2 linked regions of the Xenopus tropicalis genome follow. The protein of the gene in region 1 purifies or fractionates together with the protein of each later gene. This does not show direct contact. Links are inferred from orthologs where the notes say so. Each region holds a gene or a part of one and is shown in the gene's direction. Other genes may lie near its edges. The genes, in order: hirip3 and ampd2.

Evidence for each region.
Region 2: the proteins of hirip3 (region 1) and ampd2 purify together in Homo sapiens (co-immunoprecipitation; 3 studies listed by BioGRID and IntAct, with this or other methods). This does not show direct contact. The link is inferred for Xenopus tropicalis from reciprocal best matches to the Homo sapiens genes HIRIP3 and AMPD2.

Annotation. Positions count from the first base shown.
Region 1 is NC_030685.2:5,178,533-5,194,240, forward strand, and holds the end of hirip3 (HIRA-interacting protein 3), read left to right. Parts: intron 1-2,237; coding exon 2,238-2,361; intron 2,362-2,564; coding exon 2,565-3,841; intron 3,842-4,140; coding exon 4,141-4,300; intron 4,301-4,424; coding exon 4,425-4,523; intron 4,524-5,893; coding exon 5,894-6,081; 3' UTR 6,082-6,207; downstream 6,208-15,708. Other genes in the region: dusp14 (dual specificity protein phosphatase 14), read right to left, coding at 6,591-7,250; dppa2 (developmental pluripotency associated 2), read left to right, coding at 10,783-10,911, 11,191-11,247, 11,962-12,019, 14,453-14,642. UniProt on the Homo sapiens protein: Histone chaperone that carries a H2A-H2B histone complex and facilitates its deposition onto chromatin.
Region 2 is NC_030678.2:71,735,309-71,751,182, forward strand, and holds the end of ampd2 (AMP deaminase 2), read left to right. Parts: intron 1-736; coding exon 737-910; intron 911-7,625; coding exon 7,626-7,736; intron 7,737-10,997; coding exon 10,998-11,261; 3' UTR 11,262-13,196; downstream 13,197-15,874. UniProt on the Homo sapiens protein: AMP deaminase plays a critical role in energy metabolism. Catalyzes the deamination of AMP to IMP and plays an important role in the purine nucleotide cycle.

The DNA of each region.
Region 1 (15,708 bases):
GCTGACCCATATACATGTCACTGCCCATTGGCTCTATAGGGGGGGCTGACCCATATACATGTCACTGCCCATTGGCTCTATAGGGGGGCTGACCCATATACATGTCACTGCCCATTGGCTCTATAGGGGGGGCTGACCCATATACATGTCACTGCCCATTGGCTCTATAGGGGGGGCTGACCCATATACATGTCACTGCCCATTGGCTCTATAGGGGGGACCCACCCATATACATGTCACTGCCCATTGGCTCTATAGGGGGGGCTGACCCATATACATGTCACTGCCCATTGGCTCTATAGGGGGGACCCACCCATATACATGTCACTGCCCATTGGCTCTATAGGGGGGACCCACCCATATACATGTCACTGCCCATTGGCTCTATAGGGGGGACCCACCCATATACATGTCACTGCCCATTGGCTCTATAGGGGGGACCCACCCATATACATGTCACTGCCCATTGGCTCTATAGGGGGGACCCACCCATATACATGTCACTGCCCATTGGCTCTATAGGGGGGACCCACCCATATACATGTCACTGCCCATTGGCTCTATAGGGGGGACCCACCCATATACATGTCACTGCCCATTGGCTCTATAGGGGGGACCCACCCATATACATGTCACTGCCCATTGGCTCTATAGGGGGGACCCACCCATATACATGTCACTGCCCATTGGCTCTATAGGGGGGGCCGACCCATATACATGTCACTGCCCATTGGCTCTATAGGGGGGGCGGACCCATATACATGTCACTGCCCATTGGCTCTATAGGGGGGGCTGACCATATACATGTCACTGCCCATTGGCTCTATAGGGGGGACCCACCCATATACATGTCACTGCCCATTGGCTCTATAGGGGGGGCCGACCCATATACATGTCACTGCCCATTGGCTCTATAGGGGGGACTGACCCATATACATGTCACTGCCCATTGGCTCTATAGGGGGGGCTGACCCATATACATGTCACTGCCCATTGGCTCTATAGGGGGGACCCACCCATATACATGCCACTGCCCATTGGCTCTATAGGGGGGACCCACCCATATACATGTCACTGCCCATTGGCTCTATAGGGGGGGCCGACCCATATACATGTCACTGCCCATTGGCTCTATAGGGGGGGCTGACCCATATACATGTCACTGCCCATTGGCTCTATAGGGGGGGCTGACCCATATACATGTCACTGCCCATTGGCTCTATAGGGGGGACCCACCCATATACATGTCACTGCCCATTGGCTCTATAGGGGGGACCCACCCATATACATGTCACTGCCCATTGGCTCTATAGGGGGGACCCACCCATATACATGTCACTGCCCATTGGCTCTATAGGGGGGACCCACCCATATACATGTCACTGCCCATTGGCTCTATAGGGGGGACTGACCCATATACATGTCACTGCCCATTGGCTCTATAGGGGGGACTGACCCATATACATGTCACTGCCATCAATGCACTTGGGCTTTGTGGGGCAACAAACAGCCCATATGCCAATGCATAGATCTTTCTAGCAGGTTTGTGGTTAATTCAGTGCTCATTATTTATTTTCTACAGTGATCTTACTGGCATGTCTGGGGTTAATGGAGTACCCATTGTCCATTTTCTGTAGTGATCATACTGGCATGTCTAGATTATGGCTAAAGAAAGATCCTATGGGTTGAGTGACTCAATACATCATTTTTTGGGGGGGGCCCTGTTGTGCCATTAGCATTAACAGCCTGTAGCTGACTGGCAGACTTATATCCCACTAGTAAGGGTAGTGCCATTGGGCAGCCTCTGCTGCACCGTTATATTGAAACTGACAAACATAATCGTCATACATGGGCCGTAGGGGATCCTCAGTCTCAGGCAATTGCACTGCCCGGGGGAAGCACTAGGGGGCGCACAAGACTGCTGAATTCTTAGGAATTGAGGACAGCTTTTCAGCCCACACAGAGTTATTGTGCAAGGTTACATATAGCCATTTGTATTACTAGCCACATTTACTAGCCACAAGCTCTGCTTTTCCTGCATTATAGGTGGCCCCAGTGCCAGCCTACATTGTGTTACTGCCGCTCCTGTTCTTTGTCAATAACCCAGGCACGTGGCTAACTATTCAGTGTTCTGTGGCCCATGGTGGGGGGGGGGGGCGGGGGGGGCAACTTGGCTGTAACTATTAACCCTTTATCCCTAGGCTTCACTCTGTAGTTAAAGGCTTGTGTTTCTGCAGCAGGAGTCGTCCAGCGACGAGGAGCCACTGATCAGGAAGGTACAGAAGAGAGGCAGAGAGATTCCTGAACCTGATAGTGAAGGGGGCAGAGAGCCCCCAGGGAAGAAACGGAAGCCCACAGAAGGTAAGGGAGACTGGGGTATGTCCCAGCTGAAGCCCACCATGAGCAGTCTCATACAGGTTCTTATGGGGTATCTGTAAATGAGCTGCTGTTCGTGGTGGTAGTACAGGGGCTCATATAGTAGCCGTGTGTTTGGCCCACTGGCCAAAGGGTCAGATTCCGTAAGGTATGACCGCCTTTATGGTAATAAGCCGCTTATATTGCAGGCCATGCTTCTGATGAGGAGGATTCTGGGATTGAACCCTTTGTGAGCGACCGCAAAAGACTGTCTGGCAGTTCCTCTGAGGCGGCAGCTGTTGAGAGACAGACTGCGAGCAGGTCGGAGAAGGAAAAGAGATCACACAGCAAGAGTAATGAGACCGAGAGTGACAGTGATTCCGAGGGGCCGAGCCCACCACGAAAGAGACCCACCAAAAAGAGTAAGGTGTCCGACAGCAGTGGCACAAAGGGAACAGTAAAGAAAAAGCCATTGGAGGAATCCAACAGTGATCCACAGGCCAAGCCAAAGTCTGGCAAACAGGGGGCTTCTGGGAAATATCAGAAAGGTGGGAGGGAGAAGAAGCCAGCAAAGAAGGGAAAGAGAGCGCCTAGCGTGGGGTCAGACAGTGAGAGTGGAACAGAAGTGACAGACACCAGGCAAAAGAAAAAGCCAAAGCAGGAGAGAGACAGTGGGAGTGAGGGAGAAAGCAAAGTAAAGAAACCTGCACAGAGGAGAAAGGAGAGCGCAAGCCCCAAGAGAGCGCCGCAAGGCAAAGAGCCAGCAAAGCGAAGGAATAAAAAAGAGACAGACAGTGAAGAAGAGAGCGATAGTGATGAGGAGGAGGCAGTCGAAATGGACTCTTCAGACAGTCCCAGTAAGAATGAGACTGGTAGCAAAAGAACAGCTGGCAAATCAAAGGGCTCGGACAGTGAGGATGAAGCAGAAGAGACAGACACCAGGCTGGAAACCGACCGTGAGAGTGAGGAAGAGAGCAAAGCTAAGAGAGCCAAGAGTGCAGGGAGCGCTACACTACAGAAAGGGGGAGAGAAGGTAAAAGCAGCGCAGAAACGGAGAAAGGCCGATAGCGAGGGAGAGAGCGATAATGGCAGGAGCCAATCTGAGAGCGAAGATGAGATGCCTAAAAAGAACTCTCCGAAGAAAGAGACAGACAGCGAGAGTGCAGAGAGCAGTGCTTCCGAGAGAGACTCCGATAGTGAGAGTGAAAAAGAGAGCGCAGGACAGAAGAAAAGGAAAGCGAATGGGCGCAAGGCCAAGTCAGATAAGGAAAGCGGCAGTGCCAAGAAAAGGAAGAGACAGCCAGACAAGAAGGAGGAGACAGACAGCGAGGATGAAGATAAGGAGAAAGGAGAAGGTGCCAAGGACAGGGAGTCTGGTGAGGAATCGGCCAATAAGAAAGAAGAACCAAACGATGGTGGAACTGAGAGCGACTCCTCTGTGGCATCTGATGGCGACAAGGAGAAAAGCAGCAAGAAGCAGAGTAAGGTGAGCTGTGCCACTCCTGTGCCCCCCCCATGCTGGGTATCCCTGTGCCCCCCCTGCCATATCTGCACTGGGGATCCCCGTGGCACCCCCCTGCCATATTCCATACCCATATGAAGTGTTATATGGTGCCTGATATGGGCTAAATATGAGCATTACCTTTAAAGGGGAACTAAAGACTTCTCACAAAGATTCTGTTTCTCAAGGAACAAGTATATCCTTAGCCTTTCCAACTGACCCTGAGCCCAAATCCTTCCCTGTATCTGAACTACACGGCCTGACTTCCATTTTATCCCCCCTAGAGTTCATCCCGGGAAGACCACCCCTCGGTGGCGCGGCTGAAGCGCTACATTGTTGCCTGCGGGGCGCGTAGGAACTACAAGAAGCTCTTCCAGGACTGCCGCTCGGTGAAATCCATGGTGCAGCTCCTGAAGAACGAGCTGGAAGAGTTGGGGGTTAAAGGTGAGGGTACGGTGGGGGGATGACTTACCTTGCTGGGGCTGGAGGTTGGGCAGAAGGGGGTGGGCACAGAGAGTGGTGGGGTGAATGGCAGCTGCTCATAAGAGGCAATGTTTGTTCCGCGCAGGGCAGCCATCACTAGCCAAGTGCCGCATTGTTAGAATGAAGAGAGAGGAGGCAGCAGAACTGGCGGAACTGGATACCAGTAACATCATTGAAACAGCTGGTAAGTTGCTGGGGGGGTAGGATTAATGGGTCAGTCTGGGGGAGCCCAGTGGGGGTCTCTGCATCCTGCCAGTGGCTGTAGGGCTCGTGCTATAACTCTCTGCATCCCTGAGGGTGTCTGGGTGCTGCTGGGGAATGGGGGGACCCTGCCTATGTACTGTATTCATTACCTGTTGGTTTCCGTGATACTTCCCCTTTATCGCAGGAGGGGGGGCAGGAGTCATGTGACAGATCCCTCGGGCTCCCCCCAGCTGTGTAGGATGTAGTCCCAGCCAGCAGAGTGAGTACTTCCCTCTGCCTCCCCTATCATCATCATCATCATCATCATTATATGCACCTTATTCATCCCATCGTCCAATCATTGTGCTGCGGGGCAAATGCCTTTCCTCTGTGTCAGATAATAGCCCCCCCTGTAATTGTACTGCACTGCCCAACCCTTCCCTAAAGTGCTGATACAGGCTGCCTCAGGGTGACTACTTAAGGACATGTTTAAAGGGTAACTGAACCCAAATAATGATATCTAAGCAGTCTTCCAATATATATATATATAGCTGGTTCTGACTGCATGTACCACTGAAGCACGTCGCAGTAGTCAGAACCAACAGTGTGGGGAATAGCACTGAAAATGCTCAACAATTGTATATTGGAAACTAACTGCTTTTTATTTTCCATTGAGGAAAATTATATTTGTTGATATTGGTTGAGTTCTAATTTTCTCTTTCACACTCGAGGCCTCGGCCGCCGGCAGTTGCAGCCGCTGACAGTTTGTTTGCCCCGTGTGTCCCTACAGAGCCTGTGCAGGGTATAAACTGGTTCCTCAGCATGTTACCTTCAGCTAATGCCTTATTTAAAGGGGAAATGACCCTGCTGAGATGTGAATATTGTACAGCTCTTTATATTCGGGGAGACAAACTCTCTCAGGGTGTCGCTCTGCAGGACCAACCGGTATTTACCGTTGTTATACATGGGTTACCATGGTTCCGTTGGGTCTGGGGAAGATAGTCACATGACCTCAGCATTGCTGGCACGCCAGTTAGGGGTGTTGCCCTCGCCCAATCTTGCCTTGTCAGTATAAAGGCTGCAGGTATCATGTGACCAACACTGGCTGCGCTCCCGGGAGTCACAGATCCGGCTGGTACCGACATACCAGGACTAAACTTCCATATATAAAGTTATTCTCATTTGTTACTGGTCGGGACAGCGGCAGAAAGTAATAATGTATCAACTGGCAGTTAGGCAGGTTATATATAGGCATTATGGTTGAACGTGATGGACGTGTGTCTCTTTTCAACCCAACTTACTATGTTACTATGTCAAATACACCATGACTAGCCCTGTGAGCTTACTCTCTTTTCCTCCCCCACCTTCCAGGCCGCACAAGGCGCCGTAACACTTGGAACCCTTACCAGAACTCCCCGTCCCGGGACTCCTCCCCCACGGGATACCGTAAGGCGGTGGCGTCGGACTCTGAGGGCGAGGAGGCCCCACCCCGGAAAAAGAAACCCATGGACTGGTCCTCCTTGAAGGGAATCATCAGCGATGATGGGGAGAGTGAGTGAGTGTGGCTCGCCCAGTGGGTGCCCGTATCCCAGCATGCCTCAGTGTTGCTCCATTCTTGTCTTTTCACCCTGTTCTACGTTATTTTTATATGTATTTTTGTAAATAAATGTTTCATGCTAAAAACACAGGATTCCGTACGATAAATAAGTTTTTATTTAGAAATCTATGTTTGTGCGCCCAGCCTGTGCCTCCCCGCACCCCCCCTCCTCTTCCCCCGCCCAGTCTCCCTAGCAACGGGGCACACACACACAGCCGGGAGGCACGTTACGGGGCAACTTGTGCAACTCTACACACAGGGTAACAAACAACAACACTCCCTGCTGCCTGGCACTGCCCGTAGCCATTTCACCCTTATGGAAGTTGGCAAATTAAGGTGTGTAACCTAAAAAATATTATCCTAGGATTAAAAAAGGTCCTGTAAGCTAGGCTGTGCCCCCCCCCCCCCCCCCAGTATAAAAGGGAGAGGTGATGTCCCCTTGCCAAGTCCCAGAGGAGACGGGAGGGGTCTCTATCTGAAATTCCACACTGGGATGAGGCTGCGGGTCTCCCGTTCGTAGATGTCGGGGATAAGGCCCAGGGGAGATGGCACCAACCTCACAGTGTTCTTGCCAAAAAGCTTTTTCTCGTACTGAATCAGCTGCTGCCAGAAGCCCATGTTTGGCCGAACAACTGGCCGCCTGGTCTTCACCCACTGGTAGGCATCGAGCAGGGCGAGGCGGTGGTACTTCATCAGGTAGGCAATGCAGAGCGTGGCGGAGCGGCTCACCCCGGCTACGCAGTGGACTAATGTCCTGCCGTTCCGCTTTCCATTTTGGTGGATGCGGTCGGCCACAGTGTCAAAGTACAAAGCCAGGGGCGCGTGGGGCAAGTCCGGCACCGGCACTTTGATGTAGTCCACGTCTGGCCAGTTGGAGTTGGGGATCTCCAGCGTGGCGTTCACGATGCAGGTGACGTTGCGAGAGTAAACCAAGTGGCGGCTGCCGGCGGCGTTCCCGCTGGACAAGTAGAGGCAGGGGCTGATCTGCGCGATGCTGCTCAGGCTGGAGAGCCCGGTGCCGCTGGTACCGCTGATTGCCGTCGGCTTGCTGGAGATTGGAGGGGGGGGAGGCGGGGAGCGGCGGAGGAGCCGGTGGCTACGGAAATTCATTGTGGGGAGCTGCAGGGGCATAGAGAGAAGGGGGGTCCAGGAGCTGAGCTGCCAAGCAAGAACGGCTGAAAGTCTCCTGGTACCAATGGGCTCACTGGGTGCAACCTGGGCACAGACCTGCTACCAACAGCTCATTGGGTGCAAACTGGGCACAGACCTGGTATCAATGGCTCACTGGGTGCAATCTGGGCACAGAACTGCTACCAACGGCTCACTGGGTGCAAACTGGGCACAGACCTGGTATCAACGGCTCACTGGGTGCAATCTGGGCACAGAACTGCTACCAACGGCTCACTGGGTGCAATCTGGGCACAGACCTGGTGCCAACGGCTCACTGGGTGCAATCTGGGCACAGACCTGGTGCCAACGGCTCACTGGGTGCAATCTGGGCAGAGACAGAAAGAATCCTATGAAATATTAACATGTATTTATAATTAAGCGCCAACATATTCTGCAGCGCTGCACAATTGAACATACAGAATTAAATACAAAGCAACTGGTACAGGAGGTAAAGAGGGCTCTGCCCAAAGGAGCTTGCAATCCAACAAGCCCACATAGAAGCAATTTCACAAGCCGTGCCGCTGTCAGTAATTGAATCTGTGTGTAAAGCAGTGCCAGTCCGTACACTGGTGCCACCTACACTCTGTATTGCCGAGAGCGCCCACCTACTCGCTGCCAATAGGAGAGTGACTCACAGGCTGAGTACTAAGCGCTGCCCAAAGGGACTCCAACCTCACTGTAAGAACGGTGGAGAGTGGGGGCACCAAGGGGGTGAGAAGGCTCAAGAGGAACAACCATTGGCATTGGAGAGACAGGGGGCTCAGTGCTTGGTTGGGGGGGGGGGGGGGGGCAGGGGCATGGGAGACCCCACCTGAGGGAATTGGCAGAAGGGGTCTGGGTAGAAAATAGGCCACAGACGGAGGAAGCCCCCCTAGAAAGCCATGGGCCAGACTGACTCATCGAGTGAATCAGAGCAGTGTGGGGGGGAGAGCTGACGGGTGGGAGGGAGAGGGGCGAGTCAATGTCAGAGTACAATGAGCCTGGCACTAACTGGGCATCACGAGGATCCCACGGCACGTATGAGAGTTGCATCCACCCTCCCATATTCTCCTTTACGTATCAGATAGGGAACCCCAAATGCCACAGGAGTGTGTGTCTGCCAGCTGGGAATATCTCAGGGTCTCCATATCCTTCATTGGCACTGGGCTCTAGGCCACAAGGCACTGTTGGCAGCACGGTACATACCAGGGAAGGCTGGCACCAACATATATGGTAGAGGGAAGGTTGGCATGTATAGCCAAGATACAGTGGCACGGTGCAGGGGCTGTGGGTACAGCAGGGCAGCTGGCATTGCAGGGTGGGCAATTATAACGAGTGGAGAATGGCACTGCCTGCAATATAGCGGTGTGGTGTATCACTAGGGGTAAGTGACCCCACATTTAGCCAGGCACCCCCTTCCCTCATAGCAAACTTACAGGTAAGTCACCCTGCAGTTAAACTACATTTCCCAGGATCCCCTTGCAGCCTTCAGCTGCCCATGCCAGGGGAAGTATTAGAAGGGAAACTGCCACAGCACAGTACCAGTATCAGTATCAGTACCAGTACCAGTATCAGTACCAGTATCAGTACCAGTGCTGTGCATACATGGCGGAGAGTGGGCAGGGAGAGCTGGCACTGCCATGGAGCCTCTACAAGCTGAGGAGGTTGGCATAGCCAGGGGGTGAGCTATTTACAGCAGTAGGGGGTGAGGCTGGAATGCTATGGGGGGGCCTCGTTGGATAAAAAGCACTTACCTGGGCTGTGCTGTCTCATGTCCCGGAGCTGTCTGCCCATGCACTGCGTCTGTCTCTCTGCGTCGCTCCCTCTTTATCTGCTCGCTCTGCAGAGAGGATGGTGCTGCTGTCAGGGCTGAGGGAGGGTGTGAGGGGGGCGTGTGTGATAAGGGGGGGCCACAAAGCCCCTCGCTATTATACATATTCATGATGGGATCTGAGAGCTGCTTCCGTTAACTGCTTGGCTGCTGGAGGGGAATGGGCAGCCTCCCCACCCACACAAACTGCTGAGCATAGCACCCTAAGGGCTCTGCACCAGAACGGCATGCAGCACCCATAGCAGAATGGGGTTCTGGGCAAGGTAGGGGTGTGGGGCCCCACTGTTCCTTTAGACCCTAGGGCCCCATAGATAGAGAGACAGCAGGTAGTGTGGCAACATGGGCATGGAAACACTTTCTATGTGTGCCCAAACTGTGCCCCTAGGGCACCTAAAGATAATGTGGCCCCTGGCAGGAACCTGGCAGCACTGTGCAGTATAACACAATCCCATCCCTGAACATAATATATATAATTATCACCCACTACCAGCTCTGCCCCCCTGTGCCCCCCATCCCTGCAGGTCCCCTGTGCCAGGAGTAGTTTATTTTGGGGACTATGATGTCACAAGCATGGGTGGAGCCTGAAGAAGCAGAAAATGCTTCGATTTCTGACATCACCAGAGTGACAATGAAGAGCCAATAGGATTCCAGGCACCCTTTCCTGGCTGGTGCTGGGCAGGGGAAGCCGCAGGGATGCAGATTGTAGAGCAATTAATCATCAGGGCAGGGATCGGAAATCCATACGAGCTGCCCCCGAGCTGCCCCCGTCTCTTCATTCAGCCCCTTGGCCTCACAGCCCCAGCAAGCCAGCCCATTGCTTAGCTGCATTATTAAAGGGGAAACTCTCCTGCCCAATGATGGATGGAGATAATAATGATATATAAAAAAAATAGTGTTTCCTATGCCAGGAATCTGTAGCACTGCTTAGTGAATCTGGGCCAAAATGTGAGGGTTGCCCTGTGGCCCAATAGGGTGGGCACATTATGTATGAAACGCCCCTCTGTTATTAAGTGCTAAAGTGGCCCCTCCCATAATACCCCTATGCTCCATGGCTGATTATTAGGGTTAAACTGCTGCAGGGACAGGCAACTTGCACCCCACATGCTGCAGAACTACAACTTCCAACCTGCCCCTATGGGCTGAGCTGGGATGCTGGGAGCAGTAGTTTTGGCAACAGAAATCACTTGCCAAGAGATCCCTGGCTGGACACAGCTGTGCCAATTAGGGTTCAGAGGGAACTCACAAAACAGGAGCGGTGACCAATCAGAATGCAGCTTTCATTAGTCGTCCTGCAGCTGAATGAGCAGAGCTAATTACTGATTGGTTGCAACTCCACACCACAGGGGTTAATGCTTTATAGCTTGCAGGGAGTAGGGCACACAGCAAAGAACTAGTTAAATTCCCACAGTGAGTAATTAGTGGCCTGAGATTGGAGGCTGCTAATTAGGTGATGTAATAAGGGGACCCTGCTCCCCCTCGGCTCAGAGCACTGACTGGGGGGCACAGGTGAGGGTGTTACGGCCAAGTACTACATACAAGGGGGGCATTAATCAGTTACCCTGGGTATAGACTTGCCCCTCCCTACCCTGGGGGCTGAGGTGTGGCTCTATACATTCCAGGTATTGATTGGAAGCCACTGCCCCACCCCGGGGCATATACCCAGGTGCCAGCCCCGGAGCCATCATGCCCAAACGGCAAGGCAAGAACCCTGCGCCGCCACAGCCGGACCTGACGCCTTCCTCCCTGCAACTCCTAAAGCGGGCTCAGCTCCAGCAGCACTGCAAGCGGCTCGGACTGCGGGGGACAGGCAAGGTGTGGGGGCACCGCGGGGGCATGGGGGGACATGAGCAATGCCAGGAGCCTGTGTGTAGGGCTGCCCCTTATATATGTTAAACCCCCACCCTGTATTAGTTCCTCTAACTGCAGGCTGTGTTGGTTTCTGTACAGCCATGCACAATGCCTCTACATTAAATGCCATGATATTTATATGTTACATTATAAAGCAGTGAGGCAGCAACCCTAATAGTGTAGTGTGTAAAGGCATAAATATATATATAATATGTATTAATTCTGCCCTGTCCCTGTGCCCAGAATGCAGAGCTGGTGCAAAGGCTCCTGGAGTACTTCCAGCAGGCAGCTGCCAATCAGGTGAGTCTGGGCATTTACTATCATGGGGGGGGGGGGGGCTGTGGTAGTCTTAATTCTTTTCATCACTTTTACTGTGGCTCTGTTTTTGCCCTTATACTGCATCTGGTTGCTAGGCTAAATTACCCTACCGACAAGGCATCTATTTAAATGCAAGAATGGAGGAGGAATAGGAAATGTGAAAGCAGTGATGTTGCTCCCAGGGGCCTCAAAGCAGGGGCTTATTTTTGTATTTCTGGCTTGGGGGCAAGTTGTGGCTGCATAAAAACCCAGTATAATGCCAAACAGAGCCTTCTATAGGCTGCCTGTCCAACCAAATAGCCAATTGTAGCTCTTATTGGCACCCCAGGAACCTTTCATGCTTGTGTTGCTGCCCAACACTTATCATTTGGGTATAAAAGGTTGGGGATCCCTGGGTTAATCAGCCCTTCCCCAGCTGTACATGTAGAGCTAATGAGCCAGCATGGCTGCCCAATGTGTGTCCCACTGTAGGGAGACTGCATAGAAAGGCTACTAACCCCCCCATTGTGGGGCCCACATTATTAATAGGACTGGCCAACCTACAACCTGGCCAGCATTAACGCAAAGTGTTAATATTGCCATCGTGCCCTACCTGCTGGCCCCTCCCCCCCCCCGACGCTGGCCCCTACCCCCCCCCCTGACGCTGGCCCCGACCCCCCCCCCCCTGACCCTCACTCTCCTTTTTTGTGCCAACAGGAGGATCCCCAGACTCCCAGCCCAGAGAAGGATGAGAGTGTCTCAGGGGAACTGACAGGTACTGTGCCCATAAGCTCACACACCATGGAACACTGGGGCTAATACAGACACTGGGCCCATAAGCTCACACACCATGGAACACTGGGGCTAATACAGACACTGGGCCCATAAGCTCACACTCCATGGAACACTGGGGCTAATACAGACACTGGGCCCATAAGCTCACACACCATGGAACACTGGGGCTAATACAGACACTGGGCCCATAAGCTCACACTCCATGGAACACTGGGGCTAATACAGACACTGGGCCCCTAAGCTCACACTCCATGGAACACTGGGGCTAATACAGACACTGGGCCCCTAAGCTCACACTCCATGGAACACTGGGGCTAATACAGACACTGGGCCCATAAGCTCACACACCATGGAACACTGGGGCTAATACAGACACTGGGCCCATAAGCTCACACTCCATGGAACACTGGGGCTAATACAGACACTGGGCCCATAAGCTCACACACCATGGAACACTGGGGCTAATACAGACACTGGGCCCATAAGCTCACACTCCATGGAACACTGGGGCTAATACAGACACTGGGCCCCTAAGCTCACACTCCATGGAACACTGGGGCTAATACAGACACTGGGCCCCTAAGCTCACACTCCATGGAACACTGGGGCTAATACAGACACTGGGCCCCTAAGCTCACACCCCATGGAACACTGGGGCTAATACAGACACTGGGCCCCTAAGCTCACACCCCATGGAACACTGGGGCTAATACAGACACTGGGCCCCTAAGCTCACACTCCATGGAACACTGGGGCTAATACAGACACTGGGCCCCTAAGCTCACACTCCATGGAACACTGGGGCTAATACAGATACAGGGCTGGGCAATGTTGCTGCCATACTATGTGCTTATACAAGCTGTACCAATGCTACACTATGGGCTGCCAGTGTGGGCACTACACAAATGGGTAAGAGCCAAAGCAATGGAACCATCAGCCATGGCTACTGCTTGTCTGACCGGACCCCACCGGGCAGGGCTCTGGGTTGGGCTGTGGGAGCTGCCATACAGAAGCATTGCTGGGCCGGCCAATATTGGCCACTGGGTACCTGGGGCTTCAGTTTCATATACCTGACCCAATACTAAATACCGGGCTTCCCTGTGCCCCTATGTGGGGCTCATATATAATTTACCGGCCACACGTTTACCTGAGATGGACAGCACCTTCCTCTAGCCTTCGGAGAAGAACGGGTTACAATAACGGCAGCACCACCTGACCCGCTGTATCCAACGGTACAGCCCTGCTAGGCCACGCCCCTCCATGCCCCGCCCCCACCTGCTGAGCCGCATATGCAAGCATCAGCCAATCACGGCGCTGCTCGTACCACCCTTCCAATGACGTCAGGGCCAGTGAAGTCAGTCGGTTGCTATGGGAACAGTGCGTGATGGCGTTTGTGATGCTGTGAGGGCGCTGGGCTATTTTAGGGAAAGGGGATTGGTACCTGGGGCCGCTATATAAATATCCACCGTCCTGTCTACTCTTACCTGACGTACCTACTGCATATATATATATGTGTGTGCTTGTGGGGTGTATAGGGAATAATCTCTTTGCATGTATTATAGGGGGTAATGTACCCCCTACTGTAAATGATAAGGATATTAGCAGTCACTGAGGGGTTCTGTGCCCATATAAAGGCACAAGGCTGCAGGCTGAGTTATACAGGGAACTCTGAGTATCACTCATGTATTATAAGGGGTACTGTACCCCCTACTGTAAATGATAAGGATATTAGCAGTCACTGAGGGGTTCTGTGCCCCCCATATAAAGGCACAAGGCTGCAGGCTGAGTTATACGGGGAACTCTGAGTATCACTCATGTATTATAAGGGATACTGTACCCCCTACTGTAAATGATAAGGATATTAGCAGTCACTGAGGGGTTCTGTGCCCATATAAAGGCACAAGGCTGCAGGCTGAGTTATACGGGGAACTCTGAGTATCACTCATGTATTATAAGGGATACTGTACCCCCTACTGTAAATGATAAGGATATTAGCAGTCACTGAGGGGTTCTGTGCCCCCCATATAAAGGCACAAGGCTGCAGGCTGAGTTATACAGGGAACTCTGAGTATCACTCATGTATTATAAGGGATAATGTACCCCCTACTGTAAATGATAAGGATATTAGCAGTCACTGAGGGGTTCTGTGCCCATATAAAGGCACAAGGCTGCAGGCTGAGTTATACAGGGAACTCTGAGTATCACTCATGTATTATAAGGGATAATGTACCCCCTACTGTAAATGATAAGGATATTAGCAGTCACTGAGGGGTTCTGTGCCCATATAAAGGCACAAGGCTGCAGGCTGAGTTATACAGGGAACTCTGAGTATGATAAGGATATTAGAAGTCACTGTGCTGCTGTGTGTGAGCAGATATTTAACCCTGTATGTGGGTCACTATCTAATTCCCAGGAGGCCGAGGCTGGTGTGTGGTACATGGGCAGGAGCTGACTGTGAGTCGCTGGAAGCCGCTGTTTCTCCGCTGCGGCCGCGTCTGTATGACGTTCGAGGGATCATGCATCCCCTTACACCTGACTCCTTCCTCCACTCCAACTCCCTGCGGCCTACAGGACAACCTCATCTGTGAGGAGTGCTTTGAGAGGTGAGTGCTTCTGTTTGTTTCCAGAAGGTTCCTTCCCCGTGACTTGATCACCCCCCCACACCCACTGTAAGGATCCTGTGCATGTGTGTGTGTCACGCCCAGTGACTTCTGCACAAGTGAAAAATATTTCCCACATAAGTGTTTGTTCCCTTCTCCAATCACATTGGGTCACGGCTGTGGGGATAGGAGCTGGAATAGGAAACCAAGCAATTCTGGGGGCTGACTGAATCCATCATGGTGTCCTGTCCCTCCTGCTGCCCCACGGTGTTATCCCCAAACCCAGGCTTTTACCTTGTTAAATATTCCTTTTAACTAAATATAGTATCACCGGTTTTAGTCATTTTGTTTCCCTTAACTTGCTAAGCTTTCTCATTTCAATTAGTAGGGTTCCCAGGATGCAGCAGGAGGGTATGGTCCGTATTCATTTCCCTTCCCCTGGGGTCACAGCAGCTGAAATGAAATCCCGCCCCGGGGAGAGGATCACTGACATGCCTGAGTGATGAAGCCATGAGTGTGTTACTTACTCGGCACATTCCGAGCCCAGAGATTCCACAGTCGGAACTGGGTGTAACCTCCCAATTATGAGCCAGGAATAGGCAGAGCTGGATAGGAATGAGCCCAAGTGGCAACAGAATATCTTGTCATTCCCAGACTGGCCAGGAATAGGCAAACTGGGGATTATGTGTGTGTGTATATAATATATATATATATATATCATATGCCTGGCACTCTGCCCATACATGCACCCAGAGCAAGATGGGGGCAATAGAACTTAAAGGAGAAGGAAAGGCCAATAAAGAGTTAATCTCAAGCTGCAGGCATACCTTCAGTTCTCTCAATAGTGCCCTTAAGTCTCCCCATATTTCTCCCGTTCAGATGATCCAAAGCCTCATAGGAAAAAAAGAACGCAGAAAAAAGTTCCCATAATGCCTCACTCCTGCACCAAGACCCCTGTACATGTGCAGTTTGTAAGACTATGAGGAAGCTTCCTGCTGATTGGCTCAGATCAAAAGGAGGGAGTCCTTAACATTCTTATGGGAGGGGGGAGAGGAGAGAGCTGCACAGA
Region 2 (15,874 bases), on another chromosome or scaffold:
TTGCATCCAATAAGGATTAATTATATCTTAGTTGGAATCAATTACAAGGTTCTGTTTTATTTCTACATAGAAAAAGGAAATCAGTTTTAAAATTCTGATTTATTTGATTAAAATGGAGTCTATGGGAGACGGGCATTCCGTAATTCGGAGCTTTCTGGATAACGGGTTTCCGGATAAGGGGTCCGATACCTGTACTTCCAAAGTCAGGTGTTTCCATTAAAGTTTATGGGAGGTTTTGACTACTACTTTACAAACTGAAAAATACCTGTGGTAGAGGTAATGTGTTTAGGAGCGCAACCTAACCGCAACACCTGTGTGGTGAATAAAAAACAGCCTGTCTTTGGATACTTACCTAACTGCTAAATCTGGCAATGGAGCTGAGTATGGGGTGTTACTTGGTTCTTCTGCTTTTAATAAATGTGCAGTACAGCAGGAACATCTCTTCATGAGGTCCGTCTCCCAGGTTATCACCCAAGCTAAATGCAGCCCTGGCGATGTGGAATAGTCCTATGTGTGATTACTACTCTATAGGGACATAATTATCGTATATGGAAGATAACTTCTTAACCAAACCTATTATAAAAAATATTTTGCTCTTGCAATATTTAATTGAAGTACTTTTTAGAGAATTTTCTTTTCATTCTTTAGTTGACATACTCAATAAAATGTGTATTTCTTCTGTATTTGCTTCTTTAATTACACTGTCATAACTGGCTTGTTTTCTCTTTGTATCCAGGCGCCTGTATTACAGTATTTGTATTACTTGGCTCAGATTGGCATTGCTATGTCTCCTCTCAGTAACAATAGTTTGTTCCTGAGTTACCATAGGAATCCACTACCTGATTTCTTGTCTCGTGGTCTGATGGTGTCTCTTTCTACTGATGACCCATTGCAGTTCCACTTCACAAAGGTAGGACTGGGAATGGACTTTCTTAAAAGGGATCTGTATGTTTTTAAATAAAAGTTAACAGATAATTTAGAGTATCTATATAAGAGAGAATATATACAAATATGACCTCTCAATTTGCTTATACATATTAATTTTATTAAAGTGGACTTAATTGTGGGATTAAAAAGCTATATCTTTATCTGCCTATTCATTGACTAATACAACTTACTATGTTCTGCATGTCCTTAACATGGCAATATTTAATTTGGGTGTAAAGTAATGGTGCACATTCTTCGCAATTTATATATTTTATATATTTATATGCAAAAGTAACATAGTAAGTTAGGTTGAAAAAAAGACACTTCCATTGAGTTTTTTGATCTACATGAAATTTAGTTTTTAAATATTTTATATATCAAATCATTTATGTGATGTATTTCAAGGATATAATTTTGGTATTGTGTTGCAAAAATTGCCTCAAGGGATAAAAACATAATTTTGCGTTTTTATAGATCCATGGTAATGCCTCACCTTGAGTGTGCACAGCTAAGGAAGGAAAAAAAGGAGCTGAAAAGAGTGCAGAGATGTGCAGGTTATTTTCTCTAGAGAAGATATATTTGCAAATAGACATGATTACTCTTTCAAATATGATAGAGGACATCATTGTCAGATAGCAGAGGTTCTTTTTTTTATATAAAAGCCACCCTCTTAGACCAGGAATGGAATTTTTTCCTAAAGCAAATGGTTCTAATCAGGCAGCTACCTAGAGCTGGCCAACTGAACACATTACATTCACTCCAGTGACTCATTTATCTGGCTTTTCCTAAGCCACTAACAAGAAAACAGAAATACTTGCTGCAAAAAAACAGGCATTTACACTGGTGCTACTTGTATACCATCTTTAACACTGGTGGAAAATACACCAAACAGTGTTCTTGACAAAGGTCTCAAGGAAGACCGAAACGTTGGAATAACAAATGATCTTTATTTCTTTTTCACCATACTTTTAAGTCCTGTGACTTTATATGACAGTCTATATATGTACACTGCTCAAACAAATAAAGGGAACACAAAAATAAGACATCCTAGATCTGAATGAATGAAATATTCTTATTAAATAATTCATTCTTTGCATAGTTGAATGTGCTGACAACAAAATCACACAAAAATTATCAATGGAAATCAAATTTATCAACCCATGGAGGTCTGTATTTGGAGTCACACTCAAAATTAAAGTGGAAAAAAAAGACTACAGGCTGATCCAACTTTGGTGTAATGCCCTTAAAACAAGTCAAAATGATGCTCAGTAGTGTGTGGCCCCCACATGCCTGTATGACCCCCCTACAATGCCTGGGCATGCTCCTGATGAGGTGGCGGATGGTCTCTCTTAGGGCATACCTCCCAACATTTTAAAAATGGAGGGACAAATTTCTTGACCACGCCCACTTTTGTGGCCACACCCCCATTACCACACCCCATTTTTTTTGTTTAAAAAATACTCCTTTTATATAGTTGAAATGGTGGGATCAGACACAAAATGTACTATACCTAAGGAAAACAATATAGCAACTCCTACATATAAAATACAAATATAGAGAGAAGGCAGTCAGTTATAAGTGAGTTATAACTATGTACCAGTTTTGCCCCCCCCATACACAGTGCCCCCAATGGCCCAATAGACAGTACCCCCCATACAGAGTGCCCCCATAGACAGTACCCCCATACACAGTGCCCCCCATAGACAGTACCCCCCATAGAAAGCACCCCCAATTAACACCATAGACAGTGCCCCCAATAGCCCCCGTAGACAATGCCCCCATAGTAAGTGCCTCCAATAGCCCCCATAGACAATGCCCCCATAGTAAGTGCCCCCCATTTCCCCTTATAGACAGTAGCTCCCTTACACAGTAACCCCCCGCCATACACAGCCGCTCCTTCTTCTTCTGCGGCTCTGCTCCTTATGCGGCAGCGACAGGCCCAAATATAAGGTTGCGCCCCATGCACACATACCATGGGGCACAACCTTATAAAAGGGCCTGTCTCTGCCGCACAACTTGCAGAGCAGCAGAAGAAGCTGACATCGCTGGTACAGCTAGCGCTATAAAATCCGGGACAGTTGGGGGGTATGCCTTAGGGATCTCCTCCCAGACCTGGACTAAAGCATCCACCAACTCCTGGACAGTCTGTGGTAAAACGTGGCGTTGATGGATGGAGCGAGACATGATGTCCCAGATGTGCTCAATTGGATTCAGGTCTGGGGAACGGGCGGGCCAATCCATAGCATCAATGCCTTCGTCTTGCAGGAACTGCTGACACACTCCAGCCACATGAGGTCTAGAATTGTCTTGCATTAGTAGGAACCCAGGGCCAACCGCACCAGCATATGGTCTCACAAGGGGTCTGAGGATCTCATCTCGGTACCTAATGGCAGTCAGGCTACCTCTGGCGAGCACATGGAGGGCTGTGCCCCAAAGAAATGCCACCCCACACCATTACTGAACCACTGGCAAACCGATCATGCTGGAGGATGTTGCAGGCAGCAGAACGTTCTCCACGGTGTCTCCAGACTCTGTCACGTCTGTCGCATGTGTTCAGTGTGAACGTGCTTTCATCTGTGAAGAGCACAGGGTCTCATGCTACCACTAGAGTGAAAGCACCGCCAGCATTCAAAAGTGACCAAAACATCAGCCAGAAAGCATAGGAACTGAGAAGTGGTCTGTGGTCACCACCTGCAGAACCACTCCTTTATTGGGGATGTCTTGCTAATTGCCTATAATTTCAACCTGTTGTCTATTCTATTTGCACAACAGCATGTGAAATTGATTGTCAGTCAGTGTTGCTACCTAAGTGGACAGTTTGATTTCACAGAAGTGTGATTGACTTGGAGTTACATTGTGTTGTTTGAGTGTTCCCTTTATTTTTTTGAGCAGTGTATATATATGTATATATACGAACAAAAAAGCATGAGCCGCACTCACAGGTCTTAGTGAACAGATAGAGAAGAATTTATTATAGCATCAAACTAACGTTTCGGCTGCTTCCACAGCCTTTATCAAAGTTCACTTTGATAAAGGCTGTGGAAGCAGCCGAAACGTTAGTTTGATGCTATAATAAATTCTTCTCTATCTGTTCACTAAGACCTGTGAGTGCGGCTCATGCTTTTTTGTTCGTGAAAATTTCGCTAGGACTCTGCACCCAGGCATCCTATATTTTTCATTAGACGTGAGTGCCTGTTGCTCTATACTTTGTTTATATATACAGTGGTGTGAAAAACTATTTGCCCCCTTCCTGATTTCTTATTCTTTTGCATGTTTGTCACACAAAATGTTTCTGATCATCAAACACATTTAACTATTAGTCAAAGATAACACAAGTAAACACAAAATGCAGTTTTTAAATGAGGGTTTTTATTATTTAGGGAGAAAAAAAATCTAAACCTACATGGCCCTGTGTGAAAAAGTAATTGCCCCCTGAACCTAATAACTGGTTGGGCCACCCTTAGCAGCAATAACAGCAATCAAGCGTTTGCGATAACTTGCAACAAGTCTTTTACAGCGCTCTGAAGGAATTTTGGCCCACTCATCTTTGCAGAATTGATGTAATTCAGCTTTATTGGAGGGTTTTCTAGCATGAACCGCCTTTTTAAGGTCATGCCACAACATCTCAATAGGATTCAGGTCAGGACTTTGACTAGGCCACTCCAAAGTCTTCATTTTGTTTTTCTTCAGCCATTCAGAGGTGGATTTGCTGGTGTGTTTTGGGTCATTGTCCTGCTGCAGCACCCAAGATCGCTTCAGCTTGAGTTGACGAACAGATGGCCGGAAATTCTCCTTCAGGATTTTTTGGTAGACAGTAGAATTCATGGTTCCATCTATCACAGCAAGCCTTCCAGGTCCTGAAGCAGCAAAACAACCCCAGACCATCACACTACCACCACCATATTTTACTGTTGGTATGATGTTCTTTTTCTGAAATGCTGTGTTACTTTTACGCCAGATGTAACGGGACACGCACCTTCCAAAAAATTCAACTTTTGTCTCGTCGGTCCACAAGGTATTTTCCCAAAAGTCTTGGCAATCATTGAGATGTTTTTTAGCAAAATTGAGACGAGCCATAATGTTCTTTTTGCTTAAAAATGGTTTGCGCCTTGGAAATCTGCCATGCAGGCCGTTTTTGCCCAGTCTCTTTCTTATGGTGGAGTCGTGAACACTGACCTTAATTGAGGCAAGTGAGGCCTGCAGTTCTTTAGATGTTGTCCTGGGGTCTTTTGTGGCCTCTCGGATGAGTTGTCTCTGCGCTCTTGGGGTAATTTTGGTCGGCCGGCCAGTCCTGGGAAGGTTCACCACTGTTCCATGTTTTTGCCATTTGTGGATAATGGCTCTCACTGTGGTTCGCTGGAGTCCCAAAGCTTTAGAAATGGCTTTATAACCTTTACCAGACTGATAGATCTCAATTACTTTTGTTCTCATTTGTTCCTGAATTTCTTTGGATCTTGGCATGATGTCTAGCTTTTGAGGTGCTTTTGGTCTACTTCTCTGTGTCAGGTAGCTCCTATTTAAGTGATTTCTTGATTGAAACAGGTGTGGCAGTAATCAGGCCTGGGGGTGACTACAGAAATTGATATTGAAATTGAAAATTGAAATTGATAAACCACAGTTAAGTTATTTTTTAACAAGGGGGGCAATCACTTTTTCACACAGGGCCATGTAGATTTGGAGTTTTTTTTCTCCCTTAATAACGTAAACCTTCATTTAAAAACTGCATTTTGTGTTCAATTATGTTATCTTTGACTAACAGTTAACGGTTTTTGATGAGCAGAAACATTTAAGTGTGACAAACATACAAAAGAATAAGAAATCAGGAAGGGGGCAAATAGTTTTTCACACCACTGTATATATATATATGTATAGACAGTGAGTTGGTGCACACCACTAACAATGATTATACCTGGGTACAAGAGCAAATATAGTACAATAAAACAAAAAAGTGTCAGCACTCACAGGATTTAAATTATTTGAAAAAAAGGTACGTTTCATTACAGACCTCCTTTTAGTATATATATATATATATATCAGTCCTGATGGTGTCTGCACTCCAAGGCTTTTAGTATTCTGTGGGGTGCACAGCCAAAATCTGAGTATTTAGCATGAAATAATCCATGGCCGGCACACCCTTAAAATTCAAAAACATTTTTATTGAAAACTCATTGTTTAAAAACCAACGTTTCGGTCCTCATTAGGACCTTTATCAAGGATATATATATATATATATAAAGACAGCTGTGTCTGCAGGGGGATTCCTGGAACTGATAGGGTTAATATTCCCTCTCAATAGGCTAATTAAGAGGCAGCTAAGGGAGGAGTTACCTGGAGAGGTACAAAGTGGTGTGCTCCCACACCTAGGGGTCACTCAGAAAGGGGGTCACTCAGAGTGAAAGGTCTCTCAGAGAAGGGCACAAAGTAGGAAGGCTGCCTGCCTGTGTTAAGAACTCCCAGAAGGGCTGGGGGTGCGGCCTGCCACTGCAAGATGCAGAGGGAGCTGTGACCAGGTGTATGAATGCTAAGAAGAGTCAGCACGGCTTAATGAGAAGCCACAACATCAAGGCTTAGTGAGAAGCCAAAGTGTGCCAGAGGCTGGTGAGCTGTTACCCCAGGAGGGGAGAGTCAGTGAGTGAGTAGCATTTGTGTTCAGGGGTGTGAGAGTCACCATGGTTGTGTGAAACTGGGGATGGTGAGAAACCCTGAAAAGGTTCCAGAGTAGGAAAGTGAGAGCCCAGAGTTTTTAATAAGTTTGTTAAAACTGCTGATGAACTGTGTTCCTATTTTCTTTATGTTGGGAAAAGTTTGCCCCAAATAATCCTGTGTTTTTGCCAGAAGACATTGTGTTCCTGTCTCCAGATCCTCTGCTTACCTGCCTACCATATCTAGTTTCCCCCAAAGTGTACAGGCAGACATGTCACTATATATATATATATATATATATATATATATATTTATATAATCGCAGCCACAGAGAGCACTCACGGAACCAGATCTGTATATATCAATCGACAGGCTTTATTCAGTTCCCATAACAAAACTTTACACATTGGCCGTGCACTCCAGGTCAGCATAAAAAGCCGCAACAGTTAGTATTAAAATCGATCAACCTTTATTTGCACATCAAAAACACAGCTGGAGGTCTTACGCGTTTCGTGACAACACACGCGCCATCACATTGTCATAAGACAAATAGTAGCTTTTACCTAAAGGCAATTTTTTCTCTGACATCATCAGTGACATTTACATCTGCAAACAACAAATGTGCACTGTAAAGTTCATGCAATCAAGAACGCAGGCTTACACAAACTGAACTTAAAAAAAGTCCTGCTTCGATTGAGCACTGCAATGGTTGAGCTGAGCACAGCACAGGTTAGGAGAAGAGCTAGAGCAGAGTTTCTGTGGGAACTAGCAATGCTGTCTCTTCATTGGCTGCTAGACTGGAGGGTGTGTTTCGTAATCTGAGATGATAAGAACTGAGCATGCTCAGTAGCCAACAGCCAAAGTCAATTTCTAAGTGAGGGAGCCGAGTGGGTTAGAGGAGGAGAAGGAACCCTAAGTGATTAAGGGGATGCTGCTGCCTTACTATTAACTGTTGAAAATCCGGAGTGGCAGATTTCATAAGATCTTAGAAAAGTTAATTACCCCAAGAAAAATTCAAGACTTTTGTTTGCCAATGATTTCTTTTTCTCATGCAGGAACCTCTAATGGAAGAATACAGCATTGCAACCCAAGTGTGGAAACTGAGCTCATGTGACATGTGTGAGCTGGCAAGAAACAGCGTGTTAATGAGTGGCTTTCCTCACAAGGTAAATACATTTTACCAAAATTTGACCATACATGCCACAACACCATTCCTCACACTTAAATGAAGCAACAAGGAAACTACTGGGAGTTTGTTCTTAATGAAATACAAGATACAAAATATACAGATTTCTCTTTTAGGCATTCAAGTGAAAAGAAGACTCTGGGAATATAATTCAAAGAAGCCCCCAGAAAAACATGCCATTTTTAGTCTAATTTTGTTTTGAAATCACAAACAGCTCAGGTACAGCTCTTTTAGCTGCTTCCAAGTCTAGCATGAAGCCCCCTTTTGTCTACCGTGCATGATTTCTGCCTCTGCACCAGGCCTGGACTGTTACTCCTTTGACTTTTCTTCCAAAAATAATAATAAATGCTTAATAAAAAAAAAATAATTCTAAGCAACTTTGCAATATCTATTCATTAAACATTTGTAAGTTATATAATTGCTATTAAAAGCAGTGTTTGTCATTTTCTATTCTCTGCCTTGGTGGCTCTGACTTTTGAAACAATGTAAAATAAGCCAGCTGATTAACAGACCTGTCCTGGCTGTAGGAGACTGGCTTTTGCAACATTGTTTAAATATTCAAATCCAGGAGTTAAGCAAATGCAGCTTTTAATAGTAAATACATTTAGAAATAACTTAAAGCATTAAATATTTTTAATTCATAATGGAAAGTCGGTTAGAAAATATTTTTTTTGGGTTGACATGTCCTTTAACCTTTCTTATTCTGTACTTTCTTCCTTATGTCTCTTTTTGTCTTCCTTTATTATGGTTTTCTGCATACTGTCTACCTCTCTCCTCACCTCACCCCACCTCTCCCTTATCCCCTGTGCATTCCTTATGCTTTGACTTTTGTGCTTCTCCACTTTTCATCTTTTTCATCTGGTCTGTAGGACAGACCATGGCTAATTTATAGGCAAGCAAAGCAACACAGAGCTGAGCTGGGGCAGTATGTTACTAATAAGATTATGGCTGTAATTTTGAAGCAATCTTGTTCAGAGACTTTCCTTCTCCTTCAAACGCATCTTTTTTTCATTTCTCTTCTCTGTAGAGAACAAACCACTAGAATGGATGAATCCATCAAACAGAGACAGTTTAATAAGAGACTGGTATTTTTAAACTTGTTTTAAAGCAAAAGTAACACTAAAAAATTTTAAGTAAAAAATCTATTCTACCCTGCCCGAATAATTGCCCTATCCTGCAAACCATTTATTATTTTGAATGCTTTAGTACAAAATACCTGTTAAAACTTGACTTCCGGTCATTTAAAGAAAGGCGATACGGCGATGCAGGGGAAGTATCAGGGGAAGCATCCACTATGCGGCGATCGATTGATGGAGCCTAGCCTGGCTCCTTCAGTATAGGCTAGGCTCGATCAATCGATCGCCACATAGTGGGTGCTTCCCCTGCATCGCCTTTCTTCAAATGACCGAAAGCCAAGTTTTGACAGGTATTTTTTACTAAAGCATTCAAAATTATAAATGGTTTGCAGGATAGGGCAATTATTGGGGCAGGGTAGAATAGATTTTTTACTTAAAAAATTTTAGTGTTACTTTTCCTTTAATGCAAGCTTGCTGTAGTAGGTTTTCGCACAGCAATTGTCAGGACAGCAAAACGTTATTTAAAGGACACAGTAACAGTAACACCAAAAAATTACAAATAATAGTATAAAGTACTGTACTGTTTTAAGCTTTTAAGCTAAGTTGGCTACACAGCAGATTGTTTATTAGTCTTTCTTAAGCAAACACACCAGTTTTACCAGTGCAGGTCAACAGTACTTCATATTTTAATTACTGTAAAATGTTGTCAAAAGGCAGTTTAAAGGTTGCACAACATTTCACACAGCAAAATAATGCAAGAAAACACTACAGACCTTTCGTCAAGTAACAGTGTGTAGAGGACTTTGTGTTCGATTCACAAACATCACTCTCTGTCTTTCTCAATAGTCTCTTCTCTGTCTGTCTCAATAGTCAAACAGGCCAGCCAGGGTTTTAAAGTTTCCTGGTTAGATTGCTGAGACAAATTAGACCCAGCTGGTTATTCTGCAGCTCTTTAATCTACTATACTTACTTACGCCCTTCTGTATGCATTTATGTGTGTTTTGTAATAGCAAACATTCCCCATTTCTTCAATTCTCTCACTGACTCACAAATGCAGATGTTAGTTAAAGCAGGGGTTTCCAACCTTTTTAGCCCCGCGGCCCGGTAGGAGGCACAAAATCTTTTACACGGACCGAGGGGGGCGGGGCGCGGCGCGTAATACATGCGATGCGCTGGGGGGGAAGGGGGCGCTGCGGCCCACTGCCATGCCGTCCGCGGCCCGGAACTGGTCCGCGGCCCGGCGGTTGGGGACCCCTGAGTTAAAGGAAACTATAACTCAAAATGAATACTTTGCCAACAGATGGTTTATATCAAATGAAGTGGCTTATTAAAAAATCATACCAAACTGAAATATTTATATCAATAGATATCGCCCTTTAACATCTTTTACCTTGAGCCACCATTTTGCAATGGTTTGTGTGCTGCCTCAGAGATTACTTGACAGGAATTAATGCAGCTCTAACTGTCACAGGAAGAAGTGTTTGAGTAAAAGGCACAACTTTAATTGGCTGACATGACTTAACATGTACACATAGTTTGTGTGCAATGATCGTAGTACTTAAAATGGGAGTCTTCTATTTAGGGTTACCCAACTGCACATACTGCTAAAAAAAAAGTATATTTTTATCAACTAAAAAAATGAGAAATGCTAGAGTTTTAGTAAATCTGCCCCCAAGTCTACTAAAGGTAATTTAAGCATTAAAGAAACCCAATAGGATTGTTTTGCCTCCACTAAGGATTAATTACATCTTAACTGGGATCAAGTTTCTCGGTAACCTTAAAGTTATGTAATACAGGTATAGGACCTATTATCCGTATTGCTTAGGACCTGGTGTTTTGTGTCTATCTGGTATCTTTCCATAATTTGTATCTCCATACCTTAAGTCTACTAAAACATTATTTAAACATTTATTAAACCCAATAGGATTGTTCTACCTTCATTAAGGATTAGTTATATTATAGTTGGGGTCAACTGAACTGTTTTATTATTACAGAGAAAAAGAACATTTTTAGAAATCTGAATTATGGTAGATGAACTTTTTGGATAATGGGTTTCCAGATAATGGATCACATACCTGTATATTACTTTTTTTTTCAAAATGTGTGTCAGTTTTTTTTTATTTGAGCACTTGCAGACTCTAAACTCTCTACTTTTTCTGCAACAGGTGAAAAGCTATTGGCTTGGACCAAAATACTCACAGGATGGACCTGAAAGCAATGACATTCGCAGGACCAATGTTCCTGACATTCGTGTTGGCTTTCGATATGAGACTCTCTGTGAAGAACTGACACTGATCACGCAAGCTTTGCAGAGTGAGGAGCTTGAACCCATCCCTGAAGAGGCTCTGTTCATGGGGGTTGAGCTTGGTGGGGAAACCAAAGGAGAGTCTAATAGCCAGAGTATGGAGAATGAGAAAAGACGACCCTAAACAAAGCAAATACTTTAAAAGGGGGATGGGAATAGAGAAACTTTAATGACCATAAGCATGGAGAAGCACCAGTAAAAAAGATGAGGCAATGGCCTTTGGAGCATAAGAAAGAAAAAGAAACATAATTTTTTTTACTGTGGTTGTACCTGTAAAAGAAACAGAAAGAAGAGGCAGATAGTCTATATGAGTGGTGAAATGTTGTTTGCAAGTATGTAGCAAATGACTGAAGAAATCATGGAAATGTGTGCTGCTCTAAAGAAAACATAAATATGTTAATGTAACTATAGTTCTGATAAATGTTGGAAGAAAACCTACACAGTAAACAAGAGCTGAAATTAAAATATATGTGAAAGAAGCAGAGGATGGGGAGATTAAACACAGATTGCCTCCTCCACTTGTGAGGAGGTAGGTGCCTAAGCATGAATAATATTGAGAACCCTGCAATATTATGTTTATAAATATATATATATTTTAAAAACTATTAGAATGAGAAATTTATCATATTGTGTAAAACCTCTGGTCAGAAATGTTTAGAGTGTAAAGACAGTGACTATTATGCACAAAAGAGTGAGGCTTTTATGCTTCAGAAAGAAAAATATCTAGTATTACTGTCATTTTTTCTGAAAAGGTAATCAGCTGTAGAGACAGTGTCAGTAAAATAGAGCAAACAGTGTGTAATGGCAAAATGTTGGCACTGGGGCAATTGTTTTTAACTGAAGAAAGCTGGGAAATCAAATAATTTTTAGGCTGGAAAAAAACTCTGTGATCTGTTTATATAGTAGAGGAAAAAGTTGCAATGATTTTGTAAGGTGTAAAATTAAATGTCTCAAGCAATGTCTTATTTTAGCATGTTCTCTGGTATGCTTGCCTGTTCTGTTTTTAGAACATCAGTTGTGTAAACCTCCCTGCTCATGATAACTCACCGGCACACTTGGGGGCATTTTTATTATGTTGTGTAAAAAAACGGCAAGAAAATTTGCCACACATCTCCAAGCTTCGCTATGTAAAATCAGCATAAAACACAGCATAATAAATATGCCCCTAGATCTTGCCACAACTGCAGTGCAATGAACATATCCAGAAAATCCTAATCCACACTATGGGGGATATTTACTAATGGGGGGGTTCTGATTTGGATTTTTTAGCACTGAAAAAAAAGGTTGCAACTTTTTTCGTGATTTACTATGTGACAAAACTGTGCAAATTCTATATCTGAAAATACCCCATCAAAAACCCGTTGATCATGTAGACGTCAATGGCAAATGTCTATTCCCTTCTCTGGAAGACCTTTCTTTGCTTTGAATTGAGGAATTGAGATTTTGGACTTTTGATGCTGGCTTTTGTGTGGCAATTTAAAAATATCAGACATTTATGAAAATTAGTTTATTCAAATGTTTTTTTTTTTTTAGGCTGGGAGAAACTAGAGTTGTAGTAAATCTGCCTCCACAAGTAGGATAAACTGCTTAAAAATCAAGAAATCTTCAACCAAACCATATTTGCCCAAAGTGTACATTGTGGTAAAAAATTTCCCTGTAGTGTGTGCCTAAAACATATAAAAGATTGAAAAGAGCATGTGGATGCCATACTAATCATCTGTTATGTACCTGAAATCCTAGACCTACTACTGTGCCTCTGTACTACGGTGTTATATCACAAAAACAAGTTGGAATAAAACAATTCAATTATGTATTATGTTAGCTATAGTGCATTGTGACATTTAAATCTCTACACAATTCCTCTCACACTTAATCATCCACATGTACTTTGCACTTATGTTGTATATTGACTTGATACACTTTGTTGTAAAAATATACTAGTATTACATATATTGTTTTTCTACCCAAACCAAAAATCAGCAGTGAGGTGACGTTGTTGTGTAATGTCACTGAACATTTTGACAAAAAATGTAAAATATTAAAAAGCCCAACAATACTGGCACAGTTCTTTTAAAAGTTATATTTTGCTGTATAAAACTCCATGGTTGCTTTTTGTTTTTTTGACATCTTGGACCAAAATATTTTGTGTTTTTTTTCTTTTGTGTGCAGACTGTTCTTATTTGGCTGAAAATGAACAAGAATCACAGGGGTTGTACTACAGTATGATATCTGTTATCCAGAATTCTTGGGACCTGGAGTATATTTATGCTAGCTTAGGTTACATGAAATAGAAAATAGTGGTGTTGTTTTTAGGAAAAAAGAGCAACTGAAGAGCAAATGAAGAATTTTTTAAATAGGTTTTCCACCCTAAAATTGTTTTTGCATTATAAAAGTAAATGTGATACTAAGCAGTTTTCCAATATACATGAGACTAAAACTGTATCTGGTTCTTACCAGGTCTTTTAATCATCTTTTGTCAGCTGGCAACATTGTTTCAGGAGTCAGAGCCTGGAAAGCTAAAATGTACACAGTCAGAAAAATAATGCTTTTAATAGCAATTAAATTTACAAATTACGTCAAAATATCAAAACTCCATAATTGATGTATATTGAAAAGTTGCTTAGCATTCAGTTTCTTTCATGGTGCAAAATAGTTTTTTGGGTTTAGTTCTACTGTTGGACACTATAAAAAATGGCAGTGTAATTTTTTGAGACCTTCTGGATAGTTGATACCATACCTGCCCATATGGTTGCCACCTGAAGAGTATTGTATTGGCCTGGTTGGTAAAAATGATGAAGCGGTGGTCCACCTTTAAGTTAACTTTTAGTATGTTATAGCATTGCCAATTATAAGCAACTTTTCATTTGGTTTTCATTGTTTATTTTTTATAGTTTTTGAATTATTTGCCTTTTCGTTGGGATTTACTGACAGCAAAAAAAACTATTGCTCTGTGAGGCTACAATGTTATTGTTATTGTTACTTTGTATTACTTATTTTTGTATTCAGGCCCTCTCCTATTCATTCACTCCCTGGTTGCTAAGGTATTTTGGATTCTAGCAACCAGATAACTGCTGAAACTCCAAACTGGAAAACTGTAGATCAAAAATTTAAATAATTATTAAAAAACGACAAAAAATGAAGACCAATTGCACACTGTCTCAGAATATTGCTCTCTATATCATACTATAAATTAATGCAAAGGTGAATAACCCATTTAATAGGGGAAAAAAGCAAAATATATGAAGGCTGTTTTTTCCAGAAAAGGTGGCAACCCTACCTCAAAAATGCTGCTATATTTTTAAAATCATCAGTTCATTAAGCCTGCATGAGAAATAAAGATTAATTTGAATTGAATTGAAAATGTTACATTTGTATTGCCTGGCTAAACCAAATATTGTTTTATTACCTATGTGTCTAAGCTTGTTGGGGTTTGCAACATACAGCAGCAGAAACAAGAATTTGCAATTAAATATATACAAGTGAAGGCTCTTTATACATCTTCTTACATTCTTCTGTAATCAAGTGTGATATTTCTTCATATCCCAGTAATTGCATGTTTTCCATAATCTTCTTTACCATTTATCATTAATTACTGTACAACTTGGATATGTGCAAAAACATCATAACAAATAATATGTATAAAAATATTGATACAATTTTCTTCTATCATGAATGCAACTCTAGGATGAATTTTTGCCCATTATCTAGCAATGCAAATAGTAATGTGGATGGTAGTTACAGGGACCTGGCCCAGACACTTCAGTTTTCATGTTTCCACTCCCTTACTGAGCCCTTGAAAGAGCATTATCACACTACTGGTAAGCTGTGGTGTTGGGCAAGGAAAGCACAAGCACAGACAGTCAGTTGGTTTATTCATTTTTTTATTTTTTGAATGTCTTTATTCTATTTGTAATTATTTATATAATTGCAAATATCCAACCTAACTGGCCAGGAATTCGTAAATGGCATCCAGTGTCTGGTACATATCACAAATTACTTCAGGTTGGAAGGTGCTGATCCCTCAGTGGACACTGTGCACCAGGTGGAATATATTTTGGAGGGGCCAGGGAGTGCTGGTGCGTTCTTCTCTATGTACACATCACAAAATGGCAATGAGAGGTAGAGGGGGGAAAGGGTTGTTAGAGTGGAGAGGGAGGGTGTTGTAAGAGCTTATAATCTCAAGTTTAAAAGTATCTTGTTCCCTGATATACTTTAACCAGGTAAAAAATTGTTTACTCATCTGGTCCATATCTTTTCACATTTTTGGGGGGTGGGGAACCTCTTTAACGTTGTTATTAAGCAGAGCAGGATATTAAAATTTACCATTTTAAATATAATATTGAGGGAATGTCTGATTTCCATTTGATGGTAAAAACATTTTCAGGATAAACAAAAATTGTATAGTAGCTTTGTCTTATTGAAATGAGGAACTTTATAAATATAAATATTTATAATCATTTAAGTGCAGCAGTACACTGAGTAGATGTACAAAACCTAGACAAAGGAAAGCAAATGATCTGCCCAGTGTACCTGTGTGAACTGTCTCCGGATATCACATCCTTTATCTTCGTGTATACAGTTTGTATTAAGCATTGGCCTTGAAGAGATACCAACACCAGAAATTAAATCTATTTTTTTTTTTATAATTTTGCCTCAAAAATATTTGCCCAGTGCTTTTACATTACTTAAATGATCCCCCATGTTCCTCTGAGGGGGCTGCCATATTTGTGCAGCAGG